2 linked regions of the Caenorhabditis elegans genome follow. The protein of the gene in region 2 interacts with the protein of the main gene of each other region in a pairwise test. Each region holds a gene or a part of one and is shown on either strand. Other genes may lie near its edges.

Evidence for each region.
Region 1: the proteins of rpn-1 (region 2) and rpt-2 interact in a two-hybrid assay, tested with the Caenorhabditis elegans proteins (2 studies listed by BioGRID).

The regions. Positions count from the first base shown.
Region 1 is NC_003283.11:6,015,441-6,019,780, reverse strand, and holds rpt-2 (putative 26S proteasome regulatory subunit 4), read left to right. Parts: upstream 1-2,111; 5' UTR 2,112-2,112; coding exon 2,113-2,275; intron 2,276-2,321; coding exon 2,322-2,542; intron 2,543-2,587; coding exon 2,588-3,310; intron 3,311-3,356; coding exon 3,357-3,581; 3' UTR 3,582-3,732; downstream 3,733-4,340. Other genes in the region: picc-1 (PAC-1 interacting and coiled-coil domain-containing protein 1), read right to left, coding at 751-775; aps-1 (AP complex subunit sigma), read right to left, coding at 1,031-1,322, 1,577-1,680, 1,729-1,806; Transcription factor fos-1, read right to left, coding at 4,090-4,211. UniProt on the Caenorhabditis elegans protein: The 26S proteasome is involved in the ATP-dependent degradation of ubiquitinated proteins. The regulatory (or ATPase) complex confers ATP dependency and substrate specificity to the 26S complex.
Region 2 is NC_003282.8:6,905,612-6,911,724, reverse strand, and holds rpn-1 (26S proteasome non-ATPase regulatory subunit 2), read left to right. Parts: upstream 1-1,811; 5' UTR 1,812-1,820; coding exon 1,821-1,919; intron 1,920-1,980; coding exon 1,981-2,705; intron 2,706-2,752; coding exon 2,753-3,692; intron 3,693-3,767; coding exon 3,768-4,607; intron 4,608-4,653; coding exon 4,654-4,764; intron 4,765-4,809; coding exon 4,810-4,951; intron 4,952-5,000; coding exon 5,001-5,089; 3' UTR 5,090-5,305; downstream 5,306-6,113. Other genes in the region: ribo-1 (Dolichyl-diphosphooligosaccharide--protein glycosyltransferase subunit 1), read right to left, coding at 1-814, 878-1,042; T22D1.17 (Col_cuticle_N domain-containing protein), read right to left, coding at 5,346-5,465, 5,555-5,728.

The sequences.
Region 1 (4,340 bases), on a different chromosome or scaffold from region 2:
TTATTACTTGAAATCGTTCTTTCCTAAAGTTAAAAGCAACTGGGAAGCGTTATTTCGAACCAACTCTTTGGCTGATTTTCAAGACTGAAAAAAATAGCGAGGTTTGTTTATGATTTCTAGGGTCTCATGGACTGCGAATATTGAAAATGCGAATACTTATTCAAATAATGTGATGCGTACTTCTGCTTTCTGCCAAGATTTTAGATCAAAAATTAACTACGACTCAAAAACTAGGTGAAAGAACAAGTGTGTGCTGGAGCAAATTGATGGATACTTGAGAGAATGAGTGAATCCGCGCGGAAACATTTCCCGCTGTCTCCGCCTTCACTGCCCTTGTTCAATGTAAAACCAAAAACAATGCAAAGTATAGTGGATGGGAAGAGGAAGAAGTATTGGGCAGAAAACATGAAGAGGACACAAACATCTACTGTACGAAAATGATTAAACTTTGAGAAAACGGAAGTGATCGAAACAATTTTGACTAGTTTAATCATACTTATCGAAATTTCAGATAAATGATATTTTGAAATTCGACACCAACAAGAAGGTGAACATTGTGCTTTGTAATCTAACAAATGACAATTCCGGCAGAGGTGCCAATCATTCCTACATTCATTCCGTTCGAACTGACATGTTACACTGCCAACGTTCGCATATTACCCCCCGTTGAATTATCCTTGAATCCACCTTTCCCCTGTTCGTGTTTTACACTCATGTGCGGGAAACTCGGCAAAATTCACATTAGCTCACCTCGTCTCGGAGTTGTGATAATCATCCGCTTCGAAACCTGAGAAAGTTCAAAACTTTAAAGAAAAAATTGAAAAAAGTGTAGAAATAATGCAAGTCATGCATTGAAGTTTCCTAACAGAAAGAATACATAATGGAAGATTGAAAAATGAATGTTTTCTTCTCTTATTCACATGAATATTATCACAACCAGACACATAGCCAGGATAAATAAAGTAAGGTGGAAGTATTTGGTATTTACGGAAGCTTTCAAAGTCAATAAATTATGTTACTATTATCTTCATTATCCCAAACCGTGATCCTCGAAGAATCCTTGTGGAGTTTCTTCTTCTTGAATGAGATCTTGGGCAGCAATCGCCTTCAAAACTTGTTTTTTACTGGTTTCCTGGATTTCACCAGCCAGTAAAAATTCGTCGAGTATGAAGTAAGCTTTTTCGAAGTTGAAGATGATATCCAGCTCACAAACACTTCCAAAATATTTGTCGAGGAGTTCTACGTAACGATGAATGACTTCCAAAGTGATGAGCTCGTTGTCGTTTTGTTCGATGGCGCAGCAGAAATACAGAGACGCGTATCTGAAATTGTTGAGATTAAAAATTGAACGAATTGTTAAGTTTTTGTTTCATTTATCACAAAAATGTCTATTAAACAACTAAATTTGACGCCAAAATATTTTTCATGAATAAAAAACGTAATAACTTCGGATTTAGGTGTGTAACTATAATTTTCAAGAAATTTTGATTATAAACTTGTAAGTTATTTTCAGAAGGAACAATTTTAAGGCATGACAGGAAATGGGAGTTGTTACTTTTGAATATAAAATACGAACCGTTTGTAGACAACTTTCAAATCCTTGTATTCGAGGAACGCACACATTTTCGGTTTTCTCGCCAGAATTTGAGTGATGAGTTCGCGGCAAATTTTCTTCTTTTGCTGAAAATTGAGTGTGAAATTACACATATGAATAGGAAATACACTTACCTTGTCGGGGTAAGCAGTGTACCATTTCTGCAGCCGCAGTTTGCCCTGGCGACTGAAGAGAAGCATGTATTGCATCATGTTTACTGAAAACAAGAGTATGAACAATCGTTTGCAAACTTTAAAACGCTGAAAATACTTAAAAATCAATTGAAAAATTAGATTTTCTGAATAAAACAGACATGTGGCTTCGTCAATAAAAACAACGAAGCTCCGAAAATACGAAACCGCGCGTTGTTTAGTTCTCACCAGAGCGCGCTTGCATTGTCATCATCAACGCTGTATTTTTTTAAATCATTCTTCGTTCTACTTATTTTATATCTTTCAATTGTTTTCTTTTTCAAACGTGGACTTATTATTTTTCATATAAAATCATTATTTTCTAGAATGGGGCAACAACAGTCAGGTTTCGGTGGAAGAGGAAATGACCGCGGTGCCGGAGATGGAGAGAAGAAGGAAAAGAAGAAATATGAGGCACCGATTCCATCTAGGATTGGAAAGAAGAAGAAGGGGTCTAAGGGACCTGACGCCGCTAGCAAACTTCCAGCTGGTAAGTTTCAATCTAGTGTGTATTTTAACTGATGATTCGGTTTTAGTCACACCACATGCCAGATGCCGTCTGAAGTTGCTGAAGAGCGAAAGAATCAAGGATTATTTGTTGATGGAGCAAGAATTCATTCAAAACCAGGAGCGTTTGAAGCCACAAGAGGAGAGACAAGAAGAAGAGCGCGCCAAGGTGGACGAGCTCCGTGGAACACCAATGGCAGTCGGATCACTTGAGGAAATTATCGATGATCAGCACGCCATTGTTTCAACTGTAAGAATCAATATATCGATAATATTTTCTTATTTCAATATTTAGAACGTCGGAAGTGAGCATTACGTCAACATCATGTCATTCGTCGACAAGGAACAACTCGAGCCGGGATGTTCAGTCCTTCTCAACCACAAGAATCACGCCGTCATCGGAGTTCTCTCCGATGATACAGATCCTATGGTGTCTGTCATGAAGCTCGAAAAAGCACCACAAGAAACGTATGCCGATGTTGGTGGTCTTGATCAGCAAATTCAAGAAATTAAAGAAGCAGTTGAGCTTCCACTGACTCATCCTGAATACTACGAAGAGATGGGAATCCGGCCTCCAAAGGGAGTTATTCTATACGGTTGTCCTGGTACTGGAAAAACGCTACTTGCCAAGGCTGTTGCTAATCAGACGTCAGCTACTTTCCTTCGTATTGTTGGTTCGGAACTTATTCAGAAATACCTCGGAGATGGTCCAAAGATGGTCCGTGAGCTCTTCCGCGTTGCTGAGGAGAATGCACCATCAATTGTGTTCATTGATGAAATTGATGCTGTTGGAACAAAACGTTACGATTCGAACTCTGGTGGAGAACGTGAAATTCAGCGGACTATGCTTGAACTTCTCAATCAACTTGATGGATTCGATTCCCGTGGAGATGTTAAAGTTTTGATGGCCACTAACCGCATCGAATCTCTCGACCCTGCTCTCATTCGTCCAGGTCGTATTGATCGTAAGATTGAATTCCCCCTGCCAGATGAAAAAACGAAGCGCCGTATCTTCCAGGTTGGAACAATTTTTTCTAAACATTATATGAAGTTTTTATTTTCAGATCCATACATCTCGAATGACACTCGGCAAAGAAGTTAACCTCGAAGAGTTCATCACAGCAAAGGACGAGTTGAGTGGAGCTGATATCAAGGCTATGTGCACAGAAGCTGGTCTCTTAGCTCTTCGCGAGCGTCGTATGCGTGTCACGATGGAAGATTTCCAGAAGTCCAAAGAAAATGTGCTCTACCGTAAGAAGGAAGGAGCTCCAGAAGAACTCTATTTGTAAATGTGCCCCGTTTTATTTATTTTTTTTGTATTTTCTCTTTCCCAATTTATTTTATTCCCTTTTTGAACGTCCCGTTGCACAAAAACCGATTTAATGTAATTTTAAATCTGGATTGATTGAGGTAAATGATTCATGATGAAAAATATTCGTTTATGTGACATTGGGATTGATGGTTGGTAAGGAAAGTTCATGAATTTAATGAAACTGAAGAAGAAAAAAATGGAGAAAATCGACTTGAAGATTTACCAGTGAAGAAGTTGATGGTTTCGAAGAATAAGAAAATGATGTTACAGTTGAATGTATTTCTTATCACAATAATTGGAAACGGAAAGTTGGGGGAATTTCAGTAGCTAAAAGTGAAACTATAATGAGAAAAGAGAGAACTGGCTGAATTTAAAGATATGGAAATTGGATAGAAAATCGGGAAATTGTATGAAATTTTGTAATAATGAGAGCTGGACGGGGAAAATTACAAATGCACGCTACAGAAAATGATTTGAATCGGAATCTAGAGTGGTCGGAGATCAGCATCCGGATGTGGTTGAATCGGGGTTGGAGTTGAAACGAAGTTCATTGTTGGCTGACCAGAAGGTGTCAGACCAGTGTTGGAGGAAAGCAAGTCGAATGGGCCTGGAATGAAAATCGTTAATTATATTTTGAGAAATAAAAATAACACTTTTTAGCCCGGGATGAAACTGGAAAAATTTAAGAAAATTTTCGTATATTGTAGAAATATCGGCATTTGAATTAAAATTATGC
Region 2 (6,113 bases):
TGTACAAATACTCTTCCGATGGCAAATTGTATCCGATGACATACGACGTCTTCCATCCTCCAAAGAGTGGGAATCGTGGACGAATCTCAACGTCAACGCTGTCAGCACGGATTCGTACAGCGGATGTAGAAATGTTTCCGATCTCATCACGATAATAGATATCTTTAGCTTGAGCAGGAAGAACTGTGGTAAACTGTTGGAGTGCTGGTTGGCGACGTCCACGACGGTCCATTTGGTAATCGATTCTTGAGAATGGACCATCAAGCTCAGCTCCCTTGTGAACCAATTCAATGTACTCCTCCACAGCGATGTTTCCCCAGTGAGAAACCTCGATGAATCTTTCCACGATGGTGGCAATAACGAATGGCGAGTTATTTTCATAATGAACTTTGACTGGTTTCGTCTCAAAAGCTGGGATATTAACATATGGTCCGTAGATGACACGTTCCGTTTCTTGTTTCGATGGAGAAACTGTGGTTGCGGATAGAAGCTTGCCTCCTTGAGTGGTTCTAATAGTTGTTTTTTGGGTCACAGTTTCGTACAGGGAAGGAACGTATGCAGATGTGTGAAGAACAACAAATTGACTGTCAGATTGCTGAATCTTGGATGGGAGTGGCTCAAGTACTTGTGTGATACGAAGATTGATTCTTATGGTAACTTTGGCTCCCTTGGCAACAGGAGTTCGGAGGTCTACTTCGTAAACTGCAAGATCCTTTTCGGCTGGTTTTTCAGAAATTTTCAATTTTCCTTTGCTTCCATCGATTCCAGCAGAAATGAAAGAAAGAGTAGCAGATTCTTCTTTAGACAAAGCAATCTGAAAAATAAAGTTGAAATATAGGAAATATAGTGAATTTTCAGGAAAAATATATCTACATACCAAAACTTTCGATTGAGGTCCATTTCCAACGTTCTCAAATGAATACAATGTCGAAACCTTGACAATTTGTGACGTGGCATCGATGGTTCGGTCAACATTAGCGGCTTTCCAAGCGTCTTCAGCGAAAACCGCCCCCAGGAGAGCGATGGCAAATAGCAATCGCATCTGGAAAAATTAGATATACAATCAAAAATGCAGAAAACCCAAAAATGTCATATTAAAACGTTTCAAGAATGAAATTCGACTGATCGAGCAAGACGACATCTATTTGGAATTTAATTAATCAGCTCGTGTTAAAAAATTATCTATTATTACAATCTCAGCACAGAGTAACTTTATTTTGTCACAAAATCATTTAGCAGCAAAAATTCGCATGTACAGACTAGAAAAATGATATTTTTGTTTGGTGAAATCAGCAAAATTCATTATAAGAGCAAATTTCAAGTGTATTATATTGATTTGATGCATAAATTCTGCGAAAATCTATCTTTAAATTACAATAATTTCAGCAAAAAAAAGAGAAAGACGTGGTAAACTCGTCCACGTATTTTGAATCGGAGCCATTCGTGGCGAGACCCACCAGCCGGCATGATGACTGCGCCTTTAAACAAAGTCTGTTCAAATTATCATTTTTTCCGCGAACCGGCGCGGATTTTCAGATTTTCTAATCCAATTGTCATCGTTTTGTTGTTTTTTTATTCTTTTATTCGGATTAGATGTATTTCACTCTTAGTTTCTATTCCTTTTTTCCAAACTCTGACTCTCAAAATAGTTATTTTTCGATGTTTTCATAAAGTTGAAAAATATTCACGTTTTCGAGGGAATTAGTATTTGAATACGCTGTTATAGTTTCTTCGTGACTTAACTGTTTTGTTAATTCTATAAAATTCATTTCGAAATCTCAGCTTCTCTTTCGAATACATATATTTTGAAGGATCGAAAAATGGTGGCGACTACTCAACAGACACCAAAAGAGGCGGACAAAAAGAAAGCCGACGATAAAAAAGTTCCCGAGAAAGCTGAGCCAAAAAAAGAAGAGATGGTTAGTTTAAAGAATAACTATTGTTTAAGCCGTAATGAGACTTATAGCTTATTTATTTCAGAGCGAAGAGGATCAAAAACTCGAGGAGGATCTCAATCTTCTTGTTCAGCGTTTATCTGAACCGGACACAACACTTTACAAGCCATCACTGGAGACTATGCGGACATTGATTCGTGCTTCAACCACATCGATGACCTCTGTTCCAAAACCTCTCAAGTTTATGCGTCCGCATTACAATAAAATGAAGGAGATTTTCACATCGATCGTGGCGCCTGACGTTAAGAAACTTTGCGCAGATATCATTTCAGTGCTCGCAATGACATCAGATGAGCGAACCGACACGATCAACTATCGTATTCTTGGATCACACGAGCCGATCGGGGATTGGGGACATGAATACGTTCGTCATTTGGCGATGGAAATGTCAGAGGAGTGGAAGAAGGAAGGCACTTCGGATGCGAGAAAAGCTGAACTCCTTAAGTTGACTCAGGATATTGTCAGCCATCACATGAAACACAACGCAGAAGTTGAAGCGTGCGATTTGCTCATCGAAATTGAGCGTATTGATTTGCTGATCTCTTATGTCCAAGAAGTTGATCACCAACGTGTGTGCCTTTATCTTCTTTCATGTGCCCCATTGACTCCAGACCCGGATAACATTATTCTTATTCGCACTGCTCTCCAACTCTATTTGAAATTCAACCGGTATCTTGAAGCTGTTAGATGTGCTATCATGGTCAACGATATTCCACAGGTTCATCAAATATTTGCGAAGGCATCTGACCCGTAAGTTAAATATAACGTCTCTTACTTTCCTAAAGAAAAGTTTTCAGATTGCTTCGAAAGCAAATGGCTATCTTGCTCGGTCGCCATCAGATTTTCCTTGACTACGAGGGATCTGCAGATTCGGATGCTCTTGCCGAACTGAATTCCAATGCTCATCTCTATGAATACTTCCACTCCTTGGCTCGTGAGCTCGACATTATGGAGCCTAAAACTCCAGAAGGAATTTACAAATCTCATTTGGAACATTCCCGGCCATTCGGAAACTCTGCTCAGCCAGACTCTACTCGCATGAATCTCGCCGCTGCGTTGGTGAATGGATTCGTGAACTGTGGATTCGGAGTTGATAAAATGATGGCTGAAACAGAGGAAGCCTCCAGATGGTTCTACAAGAACAAGGAATATGGAATGCTTACTGCAGCCGCCTCACAGGGTCTTATCTGGAGATGGGATATCGATACCGGCCTGGCACAATGCGACAGATTCTTGTATATCAATGACGATTATATCAAGGCTGGAACCCTTTTGGCTATTGGTATTATTTCCTCTGGAATTCAAGATGCTTGTGACCCTGCTTCCGCACTTCTCCTTGATCATGTTCAATCTGATCGGTCAATTATGAGAGTAGGATCAATTCTTGGACTTGGACTTGCCTACGCTAATTCCAAAAGAGAAACCGTTACAAAGAATGAGGAACGCGGTGTTATTTTCGAGCTCAAGAAAGTTCTTTCTGATCAAAAGCCATCGGCTATTCCTGAAGTTAAAGGACTTGCTGGACTTTCTCTTGGCCTCATTCTTGTTGGAACTGCTGATGCGGAAGCTGCGATGGAGATGCTTCAAGCTCTAATGGATAAAAGCGAAACTGAGCTCACAGATCCAAATATGCGTTTCCTTGCATTGGGAATTGCATTGATCTTCTTGCAAACTCAGGACAAGAGTGATGTGTTTGTCGAAAGTCTCCGTTCACTTCCTGATCCATTTGGAGCGATGGTAAGTATTATTTGTTCTAGATCACCTCGAGTTTTGGCTATTCCCTTGTTCATATCATAATGAATACAATTTCAGGTTTCTACGCTCGTTGAAGTTTGTGCATACGCAGGAACTGGAAATGTTTTGAAAATCCAGAAATTGCTCCATCTCTGCTCTGAACACTACGAGACGCCAGCAGCTGAGAAGAAAACTGCCGCTTCTCGTGGACCGCGTGGACCAGCCCCAGCTGCTGCTACACCTGCTCGTCCTGCTGCGCAACCTGGAAATGTCAACGTCGCTGGCACTCCAGCCCCAACTGGAACACCCGCCGTTGCCCCAGCTGCTCCGAGACGCGACCTTCCAGGAGCCGCAAGTGCTGCTACACCAGGAGCTCCAGAGACTGCTGCCGCCGACGCTACTCCAGCACCACCTGCCAAGCCAGACTTGTCATCGCAACAGGCGGTTGCTGTACTCGGAATTGGTCTGATTGCTATGGGAGATGACATCGGATCTCAGATGGCTCTTCGCATGTTCGGACATCTCATCAGATATGGAGAACCAGTTATCCGTCGTGCTGTTCCCTTGGCGTTGTCACTTCTCTCCGTCTCAAATCCTCAATTGAACATTTTGGAAACTCTGTCCAAGTTCTCTCACGATTCTGACGCTGATACCGCTCACAATGCTATTTTCGCGATGGGACTTGTTGGAGCAGGAACAAACAATGCTCGTCTTGTTGCTATGCTCCGAAACCTGGCTTCTTATCACTACAAGGATCAAGTTTCTCTAATGCTGGTCAGAATTGCACAAGGACTTACTCATCTCGGAAAAGGAACAATGACGTTGAACCCATGGCATTCTGATAGGCAATTATTGTCTCCAAGTGCTTTGGCTTCTCTCCTTTCAATTTGCTTCTCTTTCCTCGACGCCAATAACACGGTTAGTGCAAGATTGATATTTCTACCATAATTTATTTCAAATTTAGATTCTCAACAACCGTCAGCATTACTTGCTCTACACGTTGGTGCTCGCAATGCAACCAAGAATGCTTACCACACTGGTAGAAGACGAAATGAAGCCTGGAAGCTTGAAACAGGTATAATTTTTTTAAAAGTTTCAACTCTCCAATGTGATTTTACAGTTGAACGTTTCTGTTCGTGTTGGTCAAGCCGTTGACGTTGTTGCTCAAGCCGGAAAGCCAAAGACAATCACTGGATTCCAAACTCATACTACGCCAGTCTTGCTTGCCCATGGTGAACGTGCCGAGTTGGCGAACGATGAATGTATGCCATCCTAACATTTGATAATTAATTTTTAACTAAAATATTTCAGATCTCTCTGTGACTCCACATCTTGAAGGATTGGTTATTTTGAAGAAGAATCCAGATTATCAGCCGGTTGTTGTATCAACTAAGAAGTAACCAACAAATTTATGGATCTAATTTATTTTTCTCCCCCTTTTCTCCCATCTAAATTATCCGTTTTGACCCGTTTTATTGTGCACAATCCGATTGCATTCGCTCTCTGCCCGATTTCCCGTTTTTCTGTCAATTTTCCCTCTCCCTCATCATTTTTTCTTTGAAAAAAACGTGTACACTTTAAATTTGAGTGGGACGGTATTCGAGTAAATTATTACTTTCAATCTTATCATCCTGGGTTTTATATATGTATTAATATTTATTGATCACAGGAATTTGAAGATCTTCTAGGTATCCTTATCAAAGTATCGAATATATCAGAAAATCCGTCAAGGTGGCGATTGTTCGACATTAGATTTTCAGCATCGTTCGCATACATCTGGAAATAAAATTTAGAATGTTCAAATGTGAGTTTGGAAATTTTAGTTTTTCAGTTTTTAGAAAAGTTTAATGAATTATTACACTCACCTCAAAAGTAGCCTTTTTATCCATAAAAACATCTTTCATTTCATCAATTTCATTAATAATATCACTTGTCAAATATATAACAACAAGTGTCATAATTGCCATAAAACATAAAATTCCAATAGCAGCAAAATCAGCGATGAAACGAAATTTGTATAAAAATTCGGATGTATTCATAGTTTCGAAAAAACTATAAAGTTTCAAAATTTGATGTATTAAATGGAAAAGTAATAGAAAGAAGAAGCAAATGACCAATACAATTAGACAAAGAATTGAAAACTACAGAAAACAGGTGATAAAAGATAAGAAAAAGTGAAGAGATTTAGAGATATTTGTAGAGACTAACCAGTTTGACGAACTATAGAAGTGAATTGTGTAAACTTTTAGACTTTTTGTGATTCAAAAAAAAACAGTTTGAACATTTGAAATCACAGTATTATTTAAAGGTGCAGTGTTTAGCAAAAAATTATCGTAACGAGACCCGGTCACCATATTTCCGGCACAAAAATCTAACAAATAATGTTATAAGCCCATTTCATAGTTTTTAACATTTCCCACCAAT